7 linked regions of the Oryctolagus cuniculus genome follow. The protein of the gene in region 3 interacts with the protein of the main gene of each other region in a pairwise test. Links are inferred from orthologs where the notes say so. Each region holds a gene or a part of one and is shown on either strand. Other genes may lie near its edges. The genes, in order: BICD2, BEND7, MFAP1, KATNBL1, VPS52, CARD9 and MAD1L1.

Region 1 (2,612 bases), on a different chromosome or scaffold from region 3:
TGTGCAGGTCTCAAATGGGGAGCCAAGGCCGCGGAGCTCTGCCCTCCTGCTCTCACTGGCTGTGTCTGTGCTGTGGGGGCCATCTGCGGAGGGTAGCTCAGGTCTGTTCTCTGGGTTTTGGGGAAAGCCATCCTGTGCCTTTACACTGACTGATGTGCAGTGAGATGCTGCACCATCTACATCCTTCTCTCCATAAAACCAGGCCCGGTACAGGCTATGGTCTGAGGCCCTTCAGCAGGCCAGAACCTCCTAAAACTGCTTTCTGACGTGAGACATGCGAGGAACATGCAGGTTTCCATTCAGACCCTGCCCCTCCACGGGAGCCCAGGGGTGGGGCCAGGACCCCTTCCCTTGGGCTCTCCCAGCACCCAGGGCCCTGGAAGACACTTCTGCGTGTCTGTCTTCCCCGACGGCATGTGCTCCTTTTCCCCACCTCGGCCCCTAGGGAGCTCCTGAGGGCTGTAAGAAATGAGAGGCGACATGAAGCTCACGAGAGTCCCGCCGACCGGTGCCGCCCGCCGCTCAGCCCGAATCCTGGCCCCGTGCGTTAGTCACGTTAGGATCAGCCTCGCCCCGCGGCCCCGCCGTGCTGGGTTAAGTGAGTGAAGCAGGAACGAGTTAGCTGCCGTGTGTGGAGCCCGCAGCCTAATCACAGTAAATGCTCTGCTTCTCGCTGCAGAACACCTGGCTGGTGAGCGCAGTGCCCTCGGCCCTGTCGCTGGCGCAGGCGCAGGCGTGACTTACACTCGGGGTGGCCGGCTTGGCCTTGGGGGCGGCCTTGGCGCGGCCCCGCCGGGCCTGCTCGTGGTCCAGCTCGAGCAGCTCCAGCCGCTGGGTGAGCGCCAGCTTCTGCTGGATGGCCATGCGCAGCAGCGAGTTGAGCGTCTTCTTCTCATCCTCAGCGGCCGCCAGCTGCCGCTGCATCTCATCCAGCTGTGTGATGTACTCGTCACACCTGTGGGGACCAGAGCGCGGTGAGGCCAGGGCACGGCATGGCACAGCACGGCAGCCTCCCCAGAGGGCTGGGGGCCTCGCTGTGGCTTCACTCAGCAAGGCGCTGCTCAGACAGAGCCTCTGACCGGCCCGCGCGGCCCTGTAAAGTGAGCGGACTCATTTGGTGCAGGGCTTGCTGAGCTCACTGGGCAGGAAGTGGTTCTCAGAAAGAGGCTGTGCCCCCCAGGACGCAGCTTCCTCTGGGGCAGTGGCCCCTACTTCAGGGTCGGTCGGCATGCTGAGACAGCACGAGCTTCGAGGTGGGCATGAACTCAAAGCAGGCCTGGGCTTGTGCCTGCTGCAGGCACATGGCCAGTGCTCAATCGATCTGTGCTGATGACAACCGGAGCAAAGCACAGGTGTGTGTGGATGCCACAGGCAGTCTGTCCCGGCGCCTGGGCCTCCGCCTAACTGTGACTCATCTGCTCCACCCCGGTGAGAGCAGGGGAAGAGAGAGACACCCACTTCACACTGTCCCTGGGCTTCTGCCCACCTGCCCACCAACCCACTGAGGGGCTGGCTGGGGCCTGGCAGAGACACTGAGACACAGGGGCCCCACCAGACAGGGGCCAATCGGCATCCCCTTGGGGACATAGCCTCCAGGGTCTGAATCCTGGCTCCATCTGAAAAGTCAGGACTTTAAACACAACAAGTTTACAAAGCTATAGTTTATCTTCTAGATGTGGGGGACCTGGGGAATCTCTCTCAAGCACTTTCCTATCCCCAGGAAAAGCAACGCTCCTAGAAAAACCCTGGCACTCCTTTCTTCTGCCTGTCCTGGCAGTCCCCATAACGGCCAGCAGGTGGTGCCACCCACCTTAGAGAGTGAAAGGCAGGGCCTTGCTTCTCAGTGTTGGGTTTGACCTTCCTCAGCCTGTGTCGGGTATGCACGTGCAGGGCAGCCCCTGGCTCACCCAAGAGACCCTCACTAAGAGTCCCTTCAGGGAAGAGGAACTGAACGCCAAGGGTCATGGGGATGCAGAAGCCTGGAGCTGCGCAAAGGTGGGATCCCACTCCAGCTAGGAGGGCAACCGGTGAACCCGCAGCCCCAGCCAGGTGAGTTCAGGGCTGGTCTGTCACCTCAAGTCAGCCTGGTAACTGTTGGCCGTTAGGACCCCAGGACGGTCAAGCACTTCCCCACCCTCTCTGGGGCCTGCTCCCTTGATCTCCTTACAAAACAGGACCAACTGGGCTTGCTAGGGCTTGGTAACACTAAAATGAAAACAGCCCCACAGAACCAGGTTCCTGGGGCCAGGCGGGCAGCAGCAGGAACGGAGGAGAACCACACACCCTCTGCTGCCGCTGGCCACACACGGCGCCTACCAAGTACACTCCGCACTCGGGCACCTTCTCACCCTCCCTCATCACCAACTCCAGCTCCACTGTGTATGCCAGGGCTGGGCTGGGGCCACACTTCCCAAACACGTGTCACTCGCAGTGGCGCTGGACACAGGCACTGACCCGCAGGCCTCAGAGAAGGTGGGGGTGGGGGGGCTTCAGCGCAGTTACCTGGTGGCGAACATGGCTCGCAGGGAGGAGAAGGTGGCCGCGTCCTCCTTGAGGGCCTTGAGCTCGTTGCGCAGCTTCATCATGGTCTCGGTTACCATGGCCTTCTCGTT
Region 2 (4,090 bases), on a different chromosome or scaffold from region 3:
ATAACAGCTTTCTGGTTTTGTCCTTTATTCTAGCATGAACACGTCAAGTGGCAGCGGCCCCTGCACCTGCGTTGACCCTGGTTTCCCTGAGCCTTCAGAGCCATGGAGCATCCCTCATCCTCTCCCACACTCTCCAAAACCCACATTCCAAGTGCTTTCCTGGAGTATAACTCGGGCTCCTCCGTCAGTCTCTCAGATCGGGATAAAGAATTGAAGCTCACTCTTTTTTATACTCTTCTCACCAATAAATTCTAAATCCTCTTTAAGTTTTCTCGTAGAGCAATGATGGGTTAGTCCGACCCCCCCCCCAAAAAAAAAAAAAAAAAAAACTTGCGTAAAATCAGTGAATCTTGCCCACGCACTGATGTTTCGGATCTGGGCTGGCCAAGGAGGGTCCACGACCCCTAGGATTATTTATAACAAGAGGCTCACTCCCAGGGAGCAGCCAAGGGTGACCGGAAAGGGGGTTCTGAGAGCTGAGGCCCCGGCAGCAGCCCCGGCGTCCCCGGGGGCAGGCCGGCCGGGCCCGGGCCAGGGCGCTGCGCCGCGGCCTCCGCGCCTCCTCGGGGCGCCGCGCGGCCAGGCCGGTGGCGGCGGCGGCAGCGGCGGCGGCCCCCAGGGATGGCGGCGGCCGGGCTCCGCCAGCAGGTGGCCCCGGGGTCCCGGCGGCACCGCCCCCTCCGCCGGTGCCCCTCCTCCCGCGGGGGCGGTCAGCGCCCCGGCCGGCTCCGCACCCGCCGCCGCCGCCGCCGCCTCCCTCCCCTCGGCCCGCCCGCGTCCCCGGGGCCGCCGCCGCCGCCGCCGCGTCCGCAAGCTGAGCCCAGGCGGGCCGCGACGAGCGCCCAGGGCGCCGGCAGCTCCGAGCCCTCGCCGCCGCCGCCGCCGCCGCCGCGCCCTCCCCGCCGCCGCCGCCGCCCGGCCCGCTCCCCACGGAAAGTTGCGCTGCGGCGAGCGGCGGCTTGGAAACAGCGAGCCGGCATGAGAGAGGGTCGGGGGGGCGCCTAGGGCACCGGGAGGCGGCGCCGCGCGGGGGCAACTTCTCCCCGGAGCCCACGCCGCCGGCCCCGCGCCTGCAGCCCCTGAGCGGGCTCGCGGTGGTTCCTGCCGTCCCTCGGCCTCCCCCTCCCACCCCACCCCCCCTCCGATTCGAGACGCGGACCTTGGTCCCGGCGGCTCCGCGGCGGTGACACGAGCCCGCGCCGCCGCCGCCGCCGCCGCCGCCGATCCGCCGCCTCAGCCTCCGCCGGCCGCAGTCGCCGCCGCCGCCGCCGCCGCCGCCTTCCCCGCACCATGGAGTTCTCTGAGAGGAAAAGAAGCAGGAAATCCCAGAGCTTCAAACTGGTGAGCCGAGGTAAGCGGTCGGCCAGGGCGGCGGGAGGAAGGACCGGGCGCCGCGCGCTCGGCCCCGCGCCCCCGGCCGCCCGCGGGGGGTCCACGCCGGGGGGCGCGCCCCTCCCGGAGCCCCGGTTCCCTCCCGAGCCGGGCGGCCCCGGGCCCGCGGCCGCACACCCGCACACGCCGGGCGCCGGGGAAAGTTGTGCCGGGGGAGGCAGGATGTTATTGAACGTAAACAAGTCGGAGGGCACGTCAGGAAATTAGCAAACAATGACTCCTGGGGGCCCGAGCCCTCTTTTGGGGTGTCCTCGGCGCTGGGCCGGGGTAGTGGAGGGTTGCCTGGCCCATCAGGCCGAGAGTGGACGGTCGGACCCATGGTTTGTTGTTTTTGTTTTTGCATTTTCGCCCAAAGGGAACGGGGAAAGATGACCGTTGTTCTTGTAAGCTCGGTGGAGGTCCAAGCCCGAAGCAGAATCATTGCCACCCAGTATCTTTCCTAGCTAGCTGGTTTGGCGTGGAAAGGTGTTTCAGACAAGATCACACAGCAGTCAGCCAAGTATCATTGAAAACAACAGCAAAACAAAACCAGCTAGTTCCCGACCATTTAACAGGTGTACAGTACACTCTTGGGGCGTTTATTTCCATCGAGGGAGGGGGAGCTTGGATACAGCCTTGTGCACCGTTCAGTTACTTGTTAGAGTCTGTATCTTCCTGGCTGGACTTTTAAAAAATTGATCAGAACCAAAGATAAGAGCAGTCGTGACAATATGCCTGTCAGAAGCTATTGTGGCACCTTAAATTCTAGGCAGGTGCCTTTTTTTCCTTGTAATGCCATGGGTCCTGATATTTACCGAGTTTAGACCCACCCTGTTTAAATATCTTTGAATCAACTTGAGGTCAAAGCCAAACCACAGAGCCAGTCCACTTTTCCTCTGTTGTATCTAGCATTGGCATCAGAGGCCAGAGCAACACGATTGTTCCAGCAACCTGCAGAAGTCACATGTAAACCGCTGAAAATTAGAAGGCAATTGCAAGTAATTGAGTTTTTCAGACAAAGCTGCTGTGATGTGGATTCAGTAAAGCCCACTTTTGATTAGTCTGGAAAAACAGTTTAATTATAGACATTTTGAGGATCTACCCATAGCTGTTTCCCCTAATTTAGTTTGGATACTGTTTAATGAAAGAGGCCTGAAATAGTTTACGAATTGAAAATATTTGGCCCTCCCCCTCTTTCCTTTGTAATTTTTTTTTTGGTCCACAGCAGTGTTGATTACTCAGTTATTTGTACTTTAAAACTCTCCCTGTGTAACTGCGCTGTTGGTGCTATCTGATTCATTCAGGAATGCAGGCTGCTTTTATGGATGACCTCAGGGAACTTACTACTTTATCTTACAAGTGAGAGTAGTTTTGTCCACGTTGTCCTGTGAGATCCAAGGCCAGAAAAACGGAAGAGCTGTTAACCAGGAGCCTCTATTTTCATATCCAGGCGTCCTCCTTGAGAAATGAGAAGGTTGCCAAAGCGAAGAAGCCTCCGTAGAGAAGCTTTTAAAACAGTGTTTTGTAAACTTTGGCTAACACAGCAAGTTTTTCCTTCTCCTTTTCTTTTTCTTCCTTTCTTTTTTTTTTTTTTTTATATGAGTTTGATTCTTCTCTGTCCTCTGCAGGTGCATTTTTAGAAAATAAACCATTGCCTATTAAATAAAGTGCAGTGGCTGAATAACAAAATTCACTTGAGTGAAAGATGAAAATCTTGCTTTCTCATCCAAATTACACTGAATTTAAAATAACAAATCAGTGTTTCACGTGTGCTTGTCTGTATGCTGCTTAAAGGCTGAGACTTTCTGGGTAACCTGTGAGTGCTAGGTCACTCCGAGGCATACCGCTGTCAGGTTCACGAGAGCGGGTTACGTGGAGATAAATTTGGAGTCTCACCCCAGCCCATCATTTGGCATGATTTTTCTTTTCCCTGTAAACGTACTTCCTATCTCAAAGAAATGAAACCTAATAATTGATATCTGTGGGCAAAATTCACCATGAAAAAAAAAAAAGTGATGAAGCAAAGCTGTTTTCTAAAGTCAGACTGATACTTCAAGACTGTATGCATCAGAGTATAGGCAAAGTTTTAGGGGTTACTATTAACTACAAATTCTATGAATAACTGAATTCTCAAAAATGTGTATAGGTTACACATACTGTATAGAATGAAATTCTAGTCTTTAGTGCTTGATCTTACCTTGAGGTCATTAGAATTCTAATTTTTCCTCATTTTCTCATACCAGATTATCACCATGAGGTTTATAAAGTCTCAGAATTCAGCAGCGATGTTAACGGGGAGGCCAAAGAGACGCAACCCATTTTTTTAGGTAGGTTCCTATGTCAATTAATTTCTCAGCAAAACGGTGTGGCCATTTGCAATTAGGAAAAGAAGAAGGAAAAAAAAAAAGATTGTGCAAGAACGGGAAATGTCTGCCATTGCTTAATGTATGACATTCTTTCCAAGACCTTTTATTTTACAGATTGCCAATAGATCCCTTATTAACATTGCTAAAAGTTGTAATTTCAGACATAAATGTTTATTAGTGTCTACACACAGTGCTAATTATCACTCACTCACAGAGCCAGATGCTGACTGTGCAGTTTTGTCGCTCTGTGCTCACCCCATTTACATTGCATATTCGCTGGCATGCTTCACTGGCAATAGTTTGTGTAATTGGGGTATTACATCTTTGACATCTGGATAACAGAAATTCAATTT
Region 3 (3,500 bases):
TGATTGGAAGACCTCTCAGTGTGTGTGTGTGTGTCTATCTCTCTCTGTAACTCTGTCTTTAAAAAAAAAAAAAAAAAAAAGAGACTACCTTCATTAAACCAACACATCATCTCTGTGTCATATTTTCTTAACAATTAGCACCTCTGGGCCAGAAGTAGCCTACATTAAAAAAAAAAAAAAAGATTTATTATTTATTTATTTATTTGAAGGAATTACAAAGAGAGAGAAAGAAGAGAAGGAAATCTTCCATATGCTGGTTCACTCCCCAAATGGCTGCAATGGTCAGGGCTGGGCCAGGCCAAAGCCAGGAACCAGAAGCTTCTTCTAGGCTTTCCATTTGGGCACAGAGGCCCAAGCACCTGTACCATCTTCCACTGCTTTCCCAGGTATATTAGCAGGGAGCTGGATCTGAAGTGGAGCAACCAGGACTTAAACCTGCACCCATATGGGATGCCAGTGCTGCAGACAATGGCTTAACCCATTATATCACAACACTGGCCCCTAACCTGCTGTTTTCTAAAGCTGCCACTTGTGCAATTTTGGTCATATTACTTTTCTAGCACATTTGTGTCATTTACAAAATGGGACAAGTAATATCTATCTCATAATGTTACCATGTGGATTACAAGAATTAGTAAATATTATCTACTTGGAACAGTGTAAACGACAGTAAGTACTATTCAAGTCCTGGCTATTACTACTGTCGCTGTTGTTAATTAACCTGGTTCAGGGAGACACAGCCCTAGTCATTACCTCTCTTCCACATCTTCACTAATACGGTTCTGTAAACGCCGCAGCCGGGGATCACTTGATGAATCCTCTTCCTGTTCCTCAGGCTCTGCTTCTTGTTCTTTGGCTTTCTTAATGAACTGAAATTCTTCATCCTCTTCATCAGAGGACTCCATAGGGGCGTAGTCAGGCCTCTTCCCGGACACATAACGTTTTACCTTCACTTTCTCCATCGAAATCTCACCTGTGAGATAGAGAATTAATAATGTTTCCCCATGTCTTTGAACTCTTGGTCTTGGCACACAAAACACGGTATTTTCAGTGGACAACAGTTTAAGCAGAAAAAGCAGGTTGCCACCTATCCACCTATTCAGGCCAAGATACAGGAAGGAATTCTTGTGAATACTAACACTAACAGAAATGAGACCAATCCTGGGTACAGTAAAGAGCAGGAAAGGAGGTGGTAAAACATTAGAAAAACACACCCCTTAAAAGGCAGACAGCATCCATCACTATTTCAAAGCTATTCCACACGTTCAAGCTATTCCACTTGAACTAGACCATTAAATGAATTATTTGTAACAGAGCCCAGCACACAATAAGGGTGATTTAAGAGGGAATGTAAAACTAAAAGCTGTTCAGACATTCTTTTAGTTCTCTCTGGAATGTCCAAGGCAGTCTTTTTTTTTTTTTTTTTTTTTGACAGCAGAGTTAGTGAGAGAGAAAGGTCTTCCTTCTGTTGGTTCACTCCCCAAATGGCCGCTGCGCTGATCTGAAGCCAGGAGCCAGGAGCTTCTTCCTGGTCTCCCATGCGGGTGCAGGGCCCAAGCACTTGGGCCATCCTCCACTGCCTTCCTGGGCCACAGCAGAGAGCTGGACTGGAAGAGGAGCAACCGGGACAGAACCCGATGCCCCAGCCAGAGGATTAGCCAAGTGAGCCGCGGCGCTAGCTCAAGGCAGTCTTTATAACACAGTACCACATAACTCAACACCCAAATCTTATCTCTTTGTATTTTCTTTTCCTTTAACTTATGTGCTATCAATCCTACAAGAGTAGGCAATCTCTTGTACAAATACCAACAATTTCAGTGAATAATATGAAAGAAAAGTAACCAATTTAATTTCTTTCTTTAGGAGGAAAACTCTACAATTTTATTGGAAGAGGTAGATAGCCAAGACAATTCTGAATATAGATAGAGTGGGATAGGGTTTGTATCAGACAGCAAGACTTAAAGTTACAGTAATTAAAACAATGTCTGACTCCAAGAGTAGAGAGAGACTAACAGTATAGAGAGCAGAGAAATGTATAGAAGAACCTGAACATATTACTGAAGTGACAGTAAAAATCAGTAGAGGGGTGGGGTGCTCATATCCCGTACTGCAGTGGCTTTGAGTCCTGGCTCTGCTACTGATACCGGCTTTCTGCTAATGTGCATCCTGGGAGGCTGCAGTGATGACTCAGAGAGCTGAGCCCCTGTCTCCATGAGAGAGACCTAACCTGAGTTTCAGATTCCTGGTTTTGGCCCTGATAGCCCCAATGGTTGCAGGCATTTTGGGGAGTGAACCAGCACATGGAAAATTTCTGTCTCTTGCTATCTCTGTGCCTTTCAAATGAACAATAAACATTTTTAAACATTTAATCATATTAAAAAAAACAATCAGTGGAGAGGGGTAGACATTTGGCCTAGTGGTTAAGAGATGTCAGTTAAGACACTTGTCTTTCTTCTCCGAGAGCCCATTTATGACTTCAGCTTCCTGCTAATGCAACAGTGATGGTTCAAGTGGCTGAGTTTCTGCCCCTGTGAGGCAGACCCGGATTGAGTTTCCAGCATTTGGACAGTGAACAAACATATGGGAGCACTCCCTCTTTGATGTGTGCTTGTTCTCCCTCCCTCCCTGTCCCCCTCTTATATATCTGTATCCCAAATAAAAAGCATAAAAAAGGGTGGATAATAGTAAAAAATGGTGTGACAACTGGTCATCCATACAACAAATATTAAAAATAGTAAAGAAAAAATAGACTTCTATCATACAAGCGAAACATCCCAAGTGGATTAAAGATCTGGATATGAAAAACATATCTTAAAATTTACATTCCTGGGGCTGGTACTGTGGCATAGTAGTTTAAGCATCTGCCTGCAGCACTGGCATCCCATATGGGTGCGGGTTCTAATACCGGCTGCTCCACTTCTGATCCAACTCTCTGCTGTGGCCTGGGAAAGCAGAAGATGGCTCAAGTCCTTGGGTCACTGCTTCCACATGGGCAAACTGGAAGAAGCTCCTGGCTCCAGATTGGCCCAGCTCTGGTCGTTGCAGCCATTTGGGAAGTGAACCAACAGATAAAGACCTTTCTCCACACTTGATATTAGCCAAAAGGCCAAGAAACGATATAAGACATTTCACACACACAAAGAAAAAAAGGAGCCGGTGCCATGGCTTAGCAGGTAAAGCCACTACCTGTAGGGCCGGCATCCCATATGAGCACCAGTTCGAATCCTGGCTGTTCCACTTCTAATCAAGCTCTCTGCTATGGCCTGGAAAAACATAAGATTGGACCCCTGCACCTACGTGGGAGACCTGGAAGAAGCCCCTGGCTCCTGGCTTCAGACTGGCACAGCTTTGGCCACTGCTGCCATCTGAGGAGTGAACCAAGGAATGGAAGACTTCTCTCTCTCTGCTTCTGCCTCTCTGTAACTCTGCCTTTCAAATAAAATAAATCTTTAAATAAATCTTTGTCTCCTTCTATAACTCTGCTTATCAAATAAATTTTA
Region 4 (3,500 bases), about 11 Mb from region 3:
CATTGAAATTGTTAAATTTGTGGATCTCTGGGGCCAATGTTGTGGCATAGTGGGTAGAGCCACTGCCTGTGATGCCAGCATCCCATGTGAGCACTGGCTCCTACACTTCCTATCCAGCTCTCTGCTAATGTGCCTGGGAAAGCAGCAGAAGATGACCCAAGTGCTTGGGCCGCTACACCCATCTGGGAGACAAGGGAGAAGCTCCTGGCACCTGGCTTCAGCCTGGCCCACCTTAGCCCCAGCCATTGTGGCCATTTGGGGAGTAAACCAGTGGATGGAAGATCTCTCTTTCTCTCCTTCTATAACTTTGCCTTTCAAATAAATAAAAAAATTTTTTAAATGGTGAATCTCTTGAAAGCAGTATGAAGATTTTAACATAAATAGGGAATTTTCGGGGCCGGCGCAGTGGTGTAGGGGGTAAAGCCGCTGCTGAGGTGCCGGCATCCCATATGGGTGCCAGCTTGAGTCCCAGCTGCTCCACTTCTGATCCAGCTCTCTGCGATGGCCTGGGATAGCAGTAGAAAATGGCCCAAGTATTTGGGCCCATGCACCCGTGTGCAAGACCCGGAGGAAGCGCCTGGCTTTGGATCGGCACAGCTCTGACTGTTGTGGCCAATTGGGGAGTGAACCAGCAGATGGAAGACTCTGTTCTCCTCTCCTCTTTCTCTCTCTCTCTGTAACTCTGACTTTCAAATAAATAAAATAAATCTTGAAATAAAAAAATTAGGAATTTTCTTTTTGTACCCACAGGATAGAAGATCTTGGAGTTGTAGTAGATTGCCTACCTGTACTCACCAATAGGTAAAAACAATATTTTACCAAAAAAATTACAGAACAAATTATGACTTATTAATGCACATATTTTTAACATAGTATTTATTTTAGTTTACAGGAGGAAAAACACTATATCTCACTTGGCTGCTGCGTGGACTTGTTGCCTCTAGTAAAGTCATTACTTAAAAGCAGATTTGAAGAGTAAGTGCCAAATGAATCAATTGTTTTTCTTTTTGAACATCCTTAATTTTGTTTTCATGAGTTCATATTAGCAAACTGGGCTATGTGAGGCATGTAGTTTCTGTTTTCCATGAGCTTATAGTATAATTAGAAGAACATTAAGTGATTAAATCATAATCATAAAAGGGTTTTAAAAGGGTTACATAAAATATAGTTTATGAAATAGATCGTGAAACTAGTGAAGTAAGTTTATAGAAGGGATGAAAGATCAATGTCTGTTTTTGGAGAAGGGAAGTGTCTTTTGTAATGGCTTTTTAGATGAAAACATTTTGTAACATTGTCATTTCAGATATGTAATAGTTGGTTTAAACTGGCTTCAAGCAGTCATAAAAAGGTGGTGGTCAGAACTGTCATCCAAATCAGAAATCAGAAATGATGGGTGAGTATGTCTTTAAAGGTACCGTCGTGCTGAAGCTTTTTTCAAAAAAGCCGCTTGATTAAACTAGGTGGTAATTTTGTACTGGTATCATCAGCATATATTTATTCTTTTCATTTTCAGAGAAATACTGAGTTGTGATACATGAAAATCAAAACATAGAGGTTGAGTTCCAGAGCCCAGGAACCCCTGTATCTCTTCTCGTAAAACCCAACCCTTCATTTAAGAAAGAAAAAGTTCAATGATGATTTAACAGGGGTTTAATTAGTAAAGGAGAGAAAAAAATACCTGTAATGGGATAAGGGTTGGAAGCATCCTGCAGGGTCCTTAGATTGCCTAGACATATCCTGAGAGTATGATGTTGATTACAGTTCTGAAACTATATTTATAATTATAATTTGAGGACTGCTTTGGTGTGGAAATGCAGTTATTCTACCAAATGAGCCAGATTGTCATGAAACCATAAAAAAAAGAAAATCTCCCTACAATCCCCTTAACATTTATAATTTTCTTACATTATAGTTTTCTTATAAATACTTGAAAATTTTAAACTGTTTTCATCAAGTGAATTTACTAACAAAGGCCATATGCATCTATATTTGCTTTCTCGTTTTTCTTTTTTTCCTCCTAGAAATATTCAGATTTTAAGACAACAATTAAGTGGGTTGTGGGAACAAGAAAACCATCTTACTTTGGTTCCAGGATATACTGGTAATATAGCTAAGGTAATCTCTGTTTTTCTCTTTAATATTTATTTGAAAGGAAGAGTTACAGAGAGCGAGAGAAATAAGATCATCCATCCACTGATTCATGCTCCAAATGGCCACAATAGCCAGCGTTGGGCCAGCCCAAAGCCAGGAGCCTGGAGCTTCATTTGGGTCTCTCATGTGGGTGCAGGGATCCAAGGATTTGGGCCATCCTCTGCTGCTTTCCCAGGCGCATTAACAGGGAGCTGGATCGGAAATGGAGAAGCTGGGACTTGAACCTGGTACACGGTAGTGCTGGCCCCAATCTACATTTAAACTTAAAAATTAGGCATTAAACCAAGAAATAACATAGGATACATTTGTAAATGAGCTCTTCAGTTTCTAGACAAAATAATTGAGTACTGTTCTAACAAGGTGTTAAGTCAATTTATTTCTCTTATTTATTTATTTATTTATCTGAAAGGCAGAGCTACAGAGAGGCAGAGTCAGAGCAAGGTCTTCCATCCACTGATTCACACCCCAAATGGCTACAATGGCTAGAGCTGGGCCGATCTGAAGCCAGGAGCCAGGAGCTTCTTCTGGGTCTCCTATGCGGGTGCAGGGCCTAAGCACCTGGGCCGTCTTCTGCTGTTTTCCAAGGCCATAAGAGAGCTGGATCTGAAGTGGAGCAGCCAAGTCTCGGACTGGTGCCCATAAGGGATGCCGGTACTGCTGGTGGCAGCTTTACCTGCTATGCCGCAACGCTGGCCCCAAGTCAGTTTCATATTTGCAAGTGCTTAAAGTCCTCTGGATGTGAGTGTGACCTTGGCAGGAAGAACAGGAGTTATCCATTGAATGTTTCATATACAGCCACAGAAATACTATGCCACAGGATATTTAATGACCTAGTTCTAATAGAAAAATATCTGAAGAAAAATTAAGAATCCAAATAAGAGCAACATCAGAAGGAAACAAGGGATGAGGAATACATTCAGATGGGTTTAGAATGTTAATTTTTACTTTGCTTTTGCTAATATTTTTTTTTTTTTTTTGAAGATTTATTCTATTTACTTGAAAGAGTCACAGGGAAAGACAAAGAGGGAGAGAAAGAGAGAAAGGTCTTCCATCCGCTAGCTCACTCCCCAAATGGCTGTGACTGGGCCAGGCTGAAGCCAGGAACCAGGAGCTTCCTCAGGGTCTCCCATATGGCTACAGGGGCCCAAGGAATTGGGCCATCCTCCACTGTTTTCCCAGGCACATTAACAGGGAGCTGGATTGGAAGAAAAGCAGCCAGTACTCAAACCAGCAACCATGTGGGATGCTGGCAATGATTTAACCCACCATGCCACAATGCCAGCCCTACTAATATGCTTTTTGAAAAAGTAACCTTTAAATCACAGAATGAATTGGACATTGGTCTTTAT
Region 5 (3,076 bases), on a different chromosome or scaffold from region 3:
AAAATTATTTGAAAGGCAGATCTTCTATCTTCTGGTTCATTCCCCAAATACTCTCAACAGCCAGGGCTGGTCCAGGCCAAAGCCAGGAGCCAGGAACTACATCGGTCTCCCAGGTGAGTGGCAGGGACCCAGTTGCTGGGCCACCACCTGCTGCCTCCCAGGCATTAGAGGAGGCTGGAATAAGGAGAGAGCAGCTGAGACCGAGGTCAGAACTCTCACCTGGGATATGGGCATCTTACATGGACACTTAACCTGCTGTGCCACAGTGCCTGCCCGCATCTGCCATTTTAACCAGAAGCCACCAGTAGCTTGGTTACTCACGAACTAGTCCCCTCCCTGAGGCCACTAGAGGTCAGATGTTACTATCCCTGCCCCTTCCTTAGAGATATCCCCCAAAAGGCTGTGAGCCCAGGAAGTGGTCAGAGAAGGAACGGACTCTGGAGATGAGATGGCTGCTTGGAGGCCCCAGGAGGCAGGAGCAAGGAAATGGGTGAAGAGTATCAAGTTGTATTAAATATTTATTGTTTTCTGCAGACTGGCCTTGGCCTAATCCTCCAGCCAGGAGGGGATGGGTTAGTGTTCACACTGCTGAGATCTCAGGTCAGAAAGCTCCCGAAAATGCATCACTTTGAGTGAAGGAATAAAGAAATGACTTGGAGGCAGTCTCCCCTTGCCAAGAGCTGAGTGAGAGACCGAGGCAGCAAAGGTTTTCACTGGGGAAGAGCCTGGGGTGTGTGGGGGCAGAGGAGGAGGCTGACAAAATTGGGAACAGGAGGAAGGTCGTTTGGAAAACCAGGAGAGAGTCTGGGGCAGCCTGAAGACACTGGGAGATTCAGCAGGCCAAGGGCTCCAGCTCACCCTGCGGAGCAGGGTCCCGGGAGCGAGGGCAGACTGGGGCATGTCAAAGGCCTGGGGGGCCGGGGCCAACAGGAAGGGGACGCCCAGGAGGAGAAGGGCAGGAGCTGGGGTGCGGCGTCCCTGGAGAGGTCCCGGCGCCTCAGAAGTTGGGCTTGTGCTTCTTGAGCTCCACCATGAGGTGGTGAATGTTGATGAGCTCAGCCCGGGCAGGGAGGGCGCGGAGCTGGGGCTGGGACAGCACCCGGTGGAAGCGATGGTAGAGCTGGATCAGCTGGGTCAACGCCCCCTGGTCAGAGAAGCCACCGAGGGGTCAGACTGGGGAGTGGGGTGGCGCTAGGGAGGATGACTAGGAATCGTCCAGCACCGCCGGTGGTGAAGAGCGAGGGTGGCTGGGCTGACGCCGAGCGCAGGGGAAAGGGCAGTAAGCAGCCATGGGGACACACGGGAGCCGCAGGTCACCTGGATGATACTCGTTCCATTTCTGAAGTTGGTGAAACTCCGCATTACGTCCTGACTCAGAGACTCCACTGATGACTTCCAGGAGCTGCCAAAACCGCGGATCAGCTGAGTCACCCGGGCTGGCAGCAGGAGGAAAAGGAGAGTAATAGACAGGGACGAGGTCAGGTGACCACGGAGCCCACTAAGCCCTCCCCAAGGCACAGCCATCCGCCCTATCAAGCCCATCTTTCCTGCCTCACTTCCTCCCCAAGTAACCTGTGTCCTGGCATTTTTCTTTTCCATTCACCCCATTACCACACTGCGTCCACACCTTCTTCCCCTCGGAGTCGCTCAGCCTGCCCACGCTCGATCAAAGCTTCGGCCTCCTTCACAAATGCCACCAGACCCCCAAAAGGGGGAGACAGCAACTCTTCAATAAATTCCTGGAGAGAAGCACACACACACACACACACACACACGGGCAAGTGTCCCAGTCAGCAGACTTCCAGGTAGGTGCTCAGTACACGCCCACAGCAGAACAGCGCATCTCTGAGAAGGTCATACACTTTAAGACATCGCTGGTTTCATAACAGATAGCGGAAATCTCCAAGGATCTCCCTTTTTAAAAACAAAAAACTAACTTGAGCTGGGAGCACAAAAACAGGGAATTGGGATCAGAGCTGGAGCCCAGGGGGTGGGAGCAGCAGGGATACCACAAGGCAAATAACTTGGCAACTCTGATATCCAGAAACTGGGTCTGATACCGTCTTGGGTGGGGAAACCAAGGCTCAGTCTCTTTTGAGAGCCTCAAAGAGACACCAATGTAGGGGTGGGTATTTAGCCTAGCAATTAAAAAACACTGGTTGGGATGCTAATATCTCATTATCAGAGTGCCTGGGTTTGAGTCATGGTTCTTTTTTTTTTTTTTTTTTTCCTTTTAAAGATTTATTTATTTATTTGAAAGGCAGAGTTACAGACAGGCAGAGGCAGAGAGAGATATCTTCCATCTGCTAGCTCACTATCCAAATGGCTGCAATGGCCAGAGTGGGCCAATCTGAAGCCAGGAGCTTCTTCTAGGTTTCCCACGTGGGTGCAGGGGTCCAAGCACTTAGGCCATCTTCCACTGCGTTCCCAGGCTGTAGCAGAGAGCTGGATTGGAAGTGGAGCAGCCGGGACTCAAACTGGCACCCATATGGGATGCAGGCACTTTACCCACTACGTCACAGCACCAGCCCCCCTGGTTCTGGCTCCTGATACCAGCTTCCTGCTGATGTGCACCCTGGAAGGCAGAAAGTGATGGTTCAGGTGGCTGGGTCCCTTCCACCCACGTGGGAGACCTGGACTGAGCTCCCGGCTCCCAGGTTTAGCTCAGCCTAGCAGGGGTTGTGGTGGGTATTTGGGCAGTGTACAGTGGATGGGAACTCTCTTTCTCTGCCTTTCAAATTAATTATTCTTAAAATCCTTGTTAAAAAAATCTAGTTGGAACTTGATCAAGTCTTTCCATCTTACTAAACATTTATGGGAAATACTCTTGACAGGAACAGTTTAGCCACACCATGCAATTGCAACGAGCAAGACCTAGACTGTCCATCATTCTACCTGACAAATGACTCAATGACTCAGTTTCTCTGACAAATTGCAGAGTAGTGGGGGAAAGAAGGAAAGAAAGCCTGCAGATTTAAAAAAGGTATGTGGGGGCCAGAGCTGTGGTGCCAGCATCCCATATGGGTGCCGGTTCGTGTCCTGGCTGCTCCACTTCTGATCCAGCTCCCTGCTAATG
Region 6 (2,781 bases), on a different chromosome or scaffold from region 3:
CGGGTCTCCCCCACAGCGGGCAGGGCCCAGTACCCCCAGGTGCGTTAGCGGGAAGCTGGATCAGGAGCAGAGGCGGGGCCTGGTCCCAGGCGCTCCGACCCGGGCAGCGGCCTCACGCAGGGCGCCGCAGTTCCCCAGACGCAGACCCAAGTCCACGGGCAACAGCGCGGGCCCGGCCCACGTGGCCGGCTCGTCGCAGAGCCGTGTCGGAGGCTCAGGGCCCACGCGTGTGTCCCGCAGGCCATCGCCACGCGGGGGCAGCTGCACTCCCAGCACGCGTGCAGCCTGCAGGAGAAGGACGCCCTGCGCAAGCAGCTGCGGGAGCTGCGGGAGAGAGCGGACGAGCTGCAGGTGCAGCTGCTGCAGTGCCAGAGCCGCCTGCTGGCCGCCGAGGGCAGGCTCCAGGGGCAGCAGCCGGACACGCTCGCCCTGGTGGGCCCCGGGACACGGGGGGGGGGGGAGGTGGGCCCCAGGACACGGGGGGGGGTGGGCCTCAGGGACCCCAGGACACGGGGCAGGGAGGGGAGGGGAGGTGTGGTGGGCCCCCAGGACACGGGGCGGGGGGAGGTGCTGGCCGCTGAGGGCAGGCTCCAGGGGCAGGAGCCGGACACGCTCGCCCTGGTGGGCCCCCAGGACACGGGGGGGGGGGGAGGGGAGGTGTGGTGGGCCCCCAGGACTCGGGAGGGGAGGTGATGGCTGCCGAGGGCAGGCTCCAGGGGCAGGAGCCGGACACGCTCGTCCTGGTGGGCCCGGGGACCCCAGGACACGGTGGGGGGGGAGGTGTGGTGGGACCCCAGGCGGGGGGGGAGGGCCCATTCTGGCTGGGGGCTGCAGGAGGCGCAGCCTCCCCTCGCCTGCTGACCGGCCCCTGTCCTGTGGCTGCAGAGCTGGGACCTGGAAGACGGCTCGCCCAGGGACTCGGGGGAGGTGAGCAGGGCCCCTCCCCACACCAACCAGGAAAGGGGGCCGGGCCGGGTCTGGGGAGGGGCAGCGGTGACCTCGCCCTCTCATCGGAAGCTGCAGCTCCCCGGGGACCCGGAGGACGCCCGGCCGTGCGACAAAGGTGAGGAGGGCGCCGTGCCCGGCCCACACCTGGTCCCTGCCCGCACGGGAGAGAGGCTGGGCACAGGGACTGTGACCTGGACAGCCGCTGCGCGGGGCCGGGCTGGGGCCCCCACCCTAACCCAGGGAGGACACGGCAGGCCTGTGGCCCCCAGCCTGCCCTCAGCCAGGAGGCGGTGACAGGAGCCCGTGGGCGGGGCCTGGGCGTTGATTGGGCAGAGCGGGATCCGTCAGCAGCCTGGAGGCGGGGCTGGGCGGCAGGAGGACTGGCCCGCGTGCGTGCGTGCGTGCGGTTCAGGTGGGCGGTGGGCCCAGTGCGCGGTAGGGGGGTCCCTGGGGGAGCCAGACCGACTTCCTCAGCGTCAAACGCGACCCAGCCTCTGGGCAGGAGCAAAAGCGGAAGCTGCAAATGGAGAAGTGTGGGTGGGCGGGCACTGGCCTCGAGGCCACGGAGCCCCGCGTGGCCGAGGCGGGCGGGACCCAGGTCCAGCTCAGCTCTGCCCAGCGGTGGCAGGTGCGAGCCGTCCGCGGCCCTGCAGGCGCGCACACGTGTGTGTGCCCAGGACACGGCCGAGGCCTGGCCACCGGCGCCGAGTGGGCTCTGGGCCGCCCCCAGGGGCCGTGGCGTCCACAGCTCTGCCGGACCCACGACACGGGACTCCGCTCGCAGGTGGCCTGGGGGTGACCGAGCCGCACAAGGAGATTTCACCGAGCCCCCACGTAAGGCCAGGGGCGGTCCCCCACCCCGGGAGCCCCCAGCCCAGAGCCCCCTGGACGGCTGGGGAGGGGCGCGGGAGCCTCGGCCGGCGCTGAGCCCGCCCCTTCCCCAGGACGCGGGCCTGGGCAGCGAGCCCCCGGAGAAGGAGCGGCGGCGGCTCAAGGAGAGCTTCGAGAACTACCGCAGGTGCGCGCAGGGCTGGGGCGGCGCTGAGCGCGCGCCTGCCCACCGCGGCCCGCCCACCTGCGGCCCTGCCCACCCGCGTCTCCGCAGGAAGCGCGCGCTCAGGAAGACGCAGGACAGCTGGCGGCACGGGGAGGTGGACCGGGACAACACGACGGGCAGCGACAACACGGACACCGAGGGCTCCTAGCGGCCCCGGGACACACCCCCGCGGGGACCCCCCTGGAGCCCGGGGCTCCCGCCGTGGGGGCGGGGGGTCAGCCGTTGTACCCTCCGCCCGAGCACAGCAGGCGGGCAATAAAAAGGCACCTAGAACGACCCGCGTCCGCGTCCTCGCGCGCGTGTCCCGCGCCGAGCCCGGCGTGCGGGGCCCGGGAGGCCGGCGCAGCGCCGCGAGCCGCCGCGAGGGGGCAGCAGAGCGCGGCACCGGAAGTCGGCGCCGCCACTTCCGCCCGCCCCAAGATGGCGGCGGCGTGACCGCGGCATGCTGAGGGCGGCGCTGGGGCGCGCTGCGGGGCTGCTGGGTCGCCCGCGGCCCCAGGGACCCGGCCCGAGGCGGCTGTGGGGCCGCGGGGCCCGCCCGGCGGTTGCGGGGAGTCGGCGGGCCGGGGGCTGGGCCTGGGGCTGGCGGCACTCGAGCTCGGAGCCGGGGCCCCAGGCGGCGGGGCGCGTGCAAGCGGCGCACTACCAGCTCGTCTACACCTGCAAGGTGGACTTCCGGGAGGGGCGGGGCCGCGCGCGCGGTGGGTGGGGCTGCCCTGGGGGCGGAGCCTCCCTGAAGGACACGGCTCGCAGTGGGTGGGGCTGCACTCGGGGGC
Region 7 (3,500 bases), on a different chromosome or scaffold from region 3:
CTCCGTGGCTCCACACAGCGCCGTGATGCTGAGCGCCACGCAACAGGGACGGGCAAGGCGCGGGCCGTCCAGCTCCCAGCTCTCGGGCACACACGCCTCCCCGGGGCCACAGCGCCCGGACACCGGCTTCAAGGCCACCTCAGGGGCCCTCAGAGGCTTGCAGGCCTCGCTGAGGATCAGAGAAACGCAAATCCCGAGACCCCACCTCCCCCTCCCACCACCACAAGAAGCGGCATTTCCAGAAACGCCACCCTCCACGGCAGGCCAGGCTGCGGCGAGCCCTGACGCGCCGGCCGGGACCCTGGGACCCCTCCTGCGACTCTGCCCACACAAGGTAACTCGGCAGGCGCAGAGGCCGCAGACACGCAGCTCTGCCGCGCTGATGCCAGCGCGGTGAATCCAAAGCCCAAGACACCGGGAAACGACAAGGAACGAACGGTCAACACTGAAGTTCATGGTCACCAAAACCTAAGAAGTGCTCAACCGACTGACAACCACAGAACAGAGAATCAGCACGTTTACTACGCTTACGTAGGGAAGCACCGTGCGAGAAGCGTCGCTGAAAGCGAAGCCGGGGCCGGCGCTGTGGCGCAGTGGGTTACTCCTCCGCCTGCAGTGCCGGCATCCCATCTGGGCGCCGGTTCTAGTCCCGGCTGCTCCACTTCCCATCCAGCCCTCTGCTGTGGCCTGGGAAAGCAGCGGAAGATGGCCCAAGTGCTTGGGCTCCTGCGCTCACACGGAAGCACCTGGCTCCTGGCTTCAGATCAGCACAGCTCTGGCCAACTGGGGAGTGAACCACCAGAGGGGGGACCTTTCTCTCTGTCTCTCTCTCTCACTGTCTGTAATTCTACCTCTCAAATAAATAAATAAAAATCTTAAAAAAAAAAAAAAAAAAGAAAAGAAAAAAGAAAGCAAAGCCACCCAGCGTGGTGCAGGGGCTAGGAGCACGCCAAGCTCACTGCCGCCAGCAGGCTGGTCCCAGGCCCACGGGCTGCACCCACCTCACCGGCCGTGGCCAGGCTGGTCCGGGCCTGTGTACTGCACCCACCTCGCCGGCCACGGCCGGGCTGGTCCGGGCCCGCGGGCTGCACCTACCTCGCCGGCCGCGGCCAGACTGGTCCGGGCCTGTGTACTACACCCACCTCGCCGGCCGCGGCCAGACTGGTCCGGGCCCACGGGCTGCACCCACCTCGCCGGCCGCGGCCAGGCTGGTCCGGGCCTGTGTACTACACCCACCTCGCCGACCGCGGCCAGACTGGTCTGGGCCCACAGGCTGCACCCACCTCGCCGGCCGCGGCCAGGCCGTCCTCCTTCTCCCGCAGCCTCTGGCTGGTGGCGTCCAGGCTCTGCTGGCACAGCCGGTGCCGCTCCCGCTGCTCCTGCACCTTCCCCTCGGCCGCGGCCTCCCGCTCCTGCAGCTGCCGAATGCGCGTCAGCAGCTCCTGATTGCGGTCAACCTCGCGCTGTGGAGAGGGAGAACAGGCCAGCGTTGGGGACAGCCCGAGGGGGCGCTGGGAGGACTCCTCCACGCCCCCCTTTCGGGACAGCCCACCCAGCCCAGAGAAGAGCAGGGCAAGAGCCGCCGGCCACGTCAGGAGGAACCAGGACGAGGCGGCACGGGCCCTGCTGCCGTGGGGACCAGGGCCCAGGAGGACACTGGGCACAGGCCACCATGCCCACCTCGCCGTGCACGTGCAGGGGCCACTGCTCAGGGAGGAGCTGGAGCAAGGGAAACGCGGAATTCCAAACTGGGCTTGGAGAGGAAAGAGCTACTGCGGCGCCGGCAGGTTCTACCCAGGCTCGGCCGGCATCGAGTGAGCCGGTGTCCCCCGACAGCCACCCCAGCGAGACCCAGCCTGGACCCCAAAACCCTCACACACTGGTGACTTTCTAAGCCTGCCACCTGCGTGCTACCAGGCACTTCTGCCGGCTCTGCTCCACACCTGCACAGGGAGGAGGGACGCAGGAGGCCTGGCTAGGGAACATCTGCCCGCGTCAGCGCCTCACGACGGGGACTGTCCTCTGCTTCAGGCCACCCTCCCCCGGGACATCGGGCACAGGTGACGCCGGACTCACGCCATCAGATGGCCTCAGATGAAACACCCTGGCAACCCCAACACCGAGCACCGCGGGTTTCCAGAGGGCTGGCTCGGTTCTCAGGGACAGGGAGGGACGGGGCAGGCCCTGCCCCCACCTGGCTGCTCTCAGGGACGGGGAGGGACGGGCAGGGATGGGGCAGGCCCTGCCCACACCTGGCTGCTCTCAGGGACGGGAAGGGACGGGGCAGGCACGGGGCAGGCCCTGCACCCACCTGGCTGCTCCCAGGGATGGGGAGGGACGGGGAGGGACGGGCAGGGACGGGGCAGGCCCTGCCCACACCCAGCTGTCCTCAGGCACGGGGCAGGCCCTGCCCCTACCTGGCTGTCCCCAGGGTCGGGGCAGGCCCTGCCCCCACCTGGCTGCTCCCAGGGTCGGGGCAGGCCCTGCCCCGGCAGGCACGCAGCCCGGCACCCACCTCGCAGTTCCTGGCGCTGGTGCTGGCCGCCCTCTCCAGCTCCACCCGGGCCCTCTTGTGGCTCAGCTCCATCTGCATCTTCTCCCGCTCCACCTGGATGAGGTAGGACTTGGAACGGATCTGCTCTGCTCTTTCCTCCAACTGCAGGGCCAACAAAGCACAGGGCAGCTCGGTACGCGTGTCAAACGTGCCAGCGCCCCAGCCGTCCGCACAGACCCTGCGCTCGCCCAGCCTGCGCTCGCCCGGCGTCCCACCTCCCCGCTGGCCTGGGCTGCCAGGAGCAATGGGAAGCTCCCTCAGGCCCTGCCACGTGGCCCCTCCAAGTCAAGTCTGGCTTCCGCCTTGGACACCTCCCTGTACTTTCTTCTTGAAGGCAGAGCAACACAGAGACAGACAGACAGACAGACAGACAGGATACTGGCTTCTGGTTTACTCCCCAAACACCGGCAACAGCGGGGGCCAGGCCAGGCTGAAGCGGGAGCCTGGAGCTCCACGGGGCCACCACGTGGGTAGCAGAGACGTCACTGCAGCCTCTCACTTGCAGTTTTTTTCTTTTTTAAAGATTTTATTTATTTGAAAGGCAGAGCTAAGAGAAGCAGAGGCAGAGAGAGAGAGAGAGAGAGAGAGAGAGAGAGAGAGAGAGGGGTCTCCATCCGCTGGTTCACTCCCCAGATGGACTCAATAGGTGGGACTGAGCCAATCCGAAGCCAGGAGCTGCTTCCGGGTCTCCCCTGTGGGTGCAGGGCCCAAGCACAGAGCCACAGCAGAGAGCTGGATGGGAAGTGGAGCAGCCGGGACTGGAACCGGCGCCCACGTGGGATGTCGGCACTGCGTGGGGAGCTTCACCGGCTGCGCCACAGCGCCGGCCTCGGCACCAGTCTTTTCAAAGGGCTCGTACGGTTAGGTCGGGCTCCCCCGGCAACCTCCCTGCCTTAAGGATAACGGACCTGGGAACTGAATCCCGCTGCAACAGCAGCCCCTGGGG

The links.
Region 1: the proteins of MFAP1 (region 3) and BICD2 interact in binary tests that used the Homo sapiens proteins (3 or more experiments, as listed by UniProt). The link is inferred for Oryctolagus cuniculus from reciprocal best matches to the Homo sapiens genes MFAP1 and BICD2.
Region 2: the proteins of MFAP1 (region 3) and BEND7 interact in binary tests that used the Homo sapiens proteins (3 or more experiments, as listed by UniProt). The two-hybrid records come from large-scale screens. The link is inferred for Oryctolagus cuniculus from reciprocal best matches to the Homo sapiens genes MFAP1 and BEND7.
Region 4: the proteins of MFAP1 (region 3) and KATNBL1 interact in binary tests that used the Homo sapiens proteins (3 or more experiments, as listed by UniProt). The link is inferred for Oryctolagus cuniculus from reciprocal best matches to the Homo sapiens genes MFAP1 and KATNBL1.
Region 5: the proteins of MFAP1 (region 3) and VPS52 interact in binary tests that used the Homo sapiens proteins (3 or more experiments, as listed by UniProt). The two-hybrid records come from large-scale screens. The link is inferred for Oryctolagus cuniculus from reciprocal best matches to the Homo sapiens genes MFAP1 and VPS52.
Region 6: the proteins of MFAP1 (region 3) and CARD9 interact in binary tests that used the Homo sapiens proteins (3 or more experiments, as listed by UniProt). The two-hybrid records come from large-scale screens. The link is inferred for Oryctolagus cuniculus from reciprocal best matches to the Homo sapiens genes MFAP1 and CARD9.
Region 7: the proteins of MFAP1 (region 3) and MAD1L1 interact in binary tests that used the Homo sapiens proteins (3 or more experiments, as listed by UniProt). The two-hybrid records come from large-scale screens. The link is inferred for Oryctolagus cuniculus from reciprocal best matches to the Homo sapiens genes MFAP1 and MAD1L1.

What each region holds. Positions count from the first base shown.
Region 1 is NC_091432.1:146,114,843-146,117,454, reverse strand, and holds the end of BICD2 (protein bicaudal D homolog 2), read right to left. Parts: coding exon 2,503-2,612; intron 956-2,502; coding exon 646-955; 3' UTR 501-645; downstream 1-500. UniProt on the Homo sapiens protein: Acts as an adapter protein linking the dynein motor complex to various cargos and converts dynein from a non-processive to a highly processive motor in the presence of dynactin.
Region 2 is NC_091444.1:69,144,408-69,148,497, forward strand, and holds the start of BEND7 (BEN domain-containing protein 7), read left to right. Parts: upstream 1-1,290; coding exon 1,291-1,351; intron 1,352-3,614; coding exon 3,615-3,698; intron 3,699-4,090. Other genes in the region: PRPF18 (pre-mRNA-splicing factor 18), read right to left, coding at 1,160-1,292.
Region 3 is NC_091443.1:66,698,324-66,701,823, forward strand, and holds part of MFAP1 (microfibrillar-associated protein 1), read right to left. Parts: intron 974-3,500; coding exon 754-973; intron 1-753. UniProt on the Homo sapiens protein: Involved in pre-mRNA splicing as a component of the spliceosome.
Region 4 is NC_091443.1:55,837,463-55,840,962, forward strand, and holds part of KATNBL1 (KATNB1-like protein 1), read left to right. Parts: intron 1-750; coding exon 751-801; intron 802-885; coding exon 886-975; intron 976-1,303; coding exon 1,304-1,393; intron 1,394-1,513; exon of another isoform or gene 1,514-2,021; coding exon 2,022-2,373; 3' UTR 2,374-3,500.
Region 5 is NC_091436.1:135,863,866-135,866,941, reverse strand, and holds the end of VPS52 (vacuolar protein sorting-associated protein 52 homolog), read right to left. Parts: intron 1,740-3,076; coding exon 1,628-1,739; intron 1,437-1,627; coding exon 1,318-1,436; intron 1,145-1,317; coding exon 998-1,144; 3' UTR 501-997; downstream 1-500. UniProt on the Homo sapiens protein: Acts as a component of the GARP complex that is involved in retrograde transport from early and late endosomes to the trans-Golgi network (TGN).
Region 6 is NC_091432.1:236,670,302-236,673,082, forward strand, and holds the end of CARD9 (caspase recruitment domain-containing protein 9), read left to right. Parts: intron 1-240; coding exon 241-432; intron 433-885; coding exon 886-927; intron 928-1,017; coding exon 1,018-1,063; exon of another isoform or gene 1,064-1,360; intron 1,361-1,678; coding exon 1,679-1,782; intron 1,783-1,892; coding exon 1,893-2,153; 3' UTR 2,154-2,281; downstream 2,282-2,781. Other genes in the region: DNLZ (DNL-type zinc finger protein), read left to right, coding at 2,448-2,672. UniProt on the Homo sapiens protein: Adapter protein that plays a key role in innate immune response against fungi by forming signaling complexes downstream of C-type lectin receptors.
Region 7 is NC_091450.1:37,075,668-37,079,167, forward strand, and holds part of MAD1L1 (mitotic spindle assembly checkpoint protein MAD1), read right to left. Parts: intron 2,657-3,500; coding exon 2,516-2,656; intron 1,464-2,515; coding exon 1,284-1,463; intron 1-1,283. UniProt on the Homo sapiens protein: Component of the spindle-assembly checkpoint that prevents the onset of anaphase until all chromosomes are properly aligned at the metaphase plate.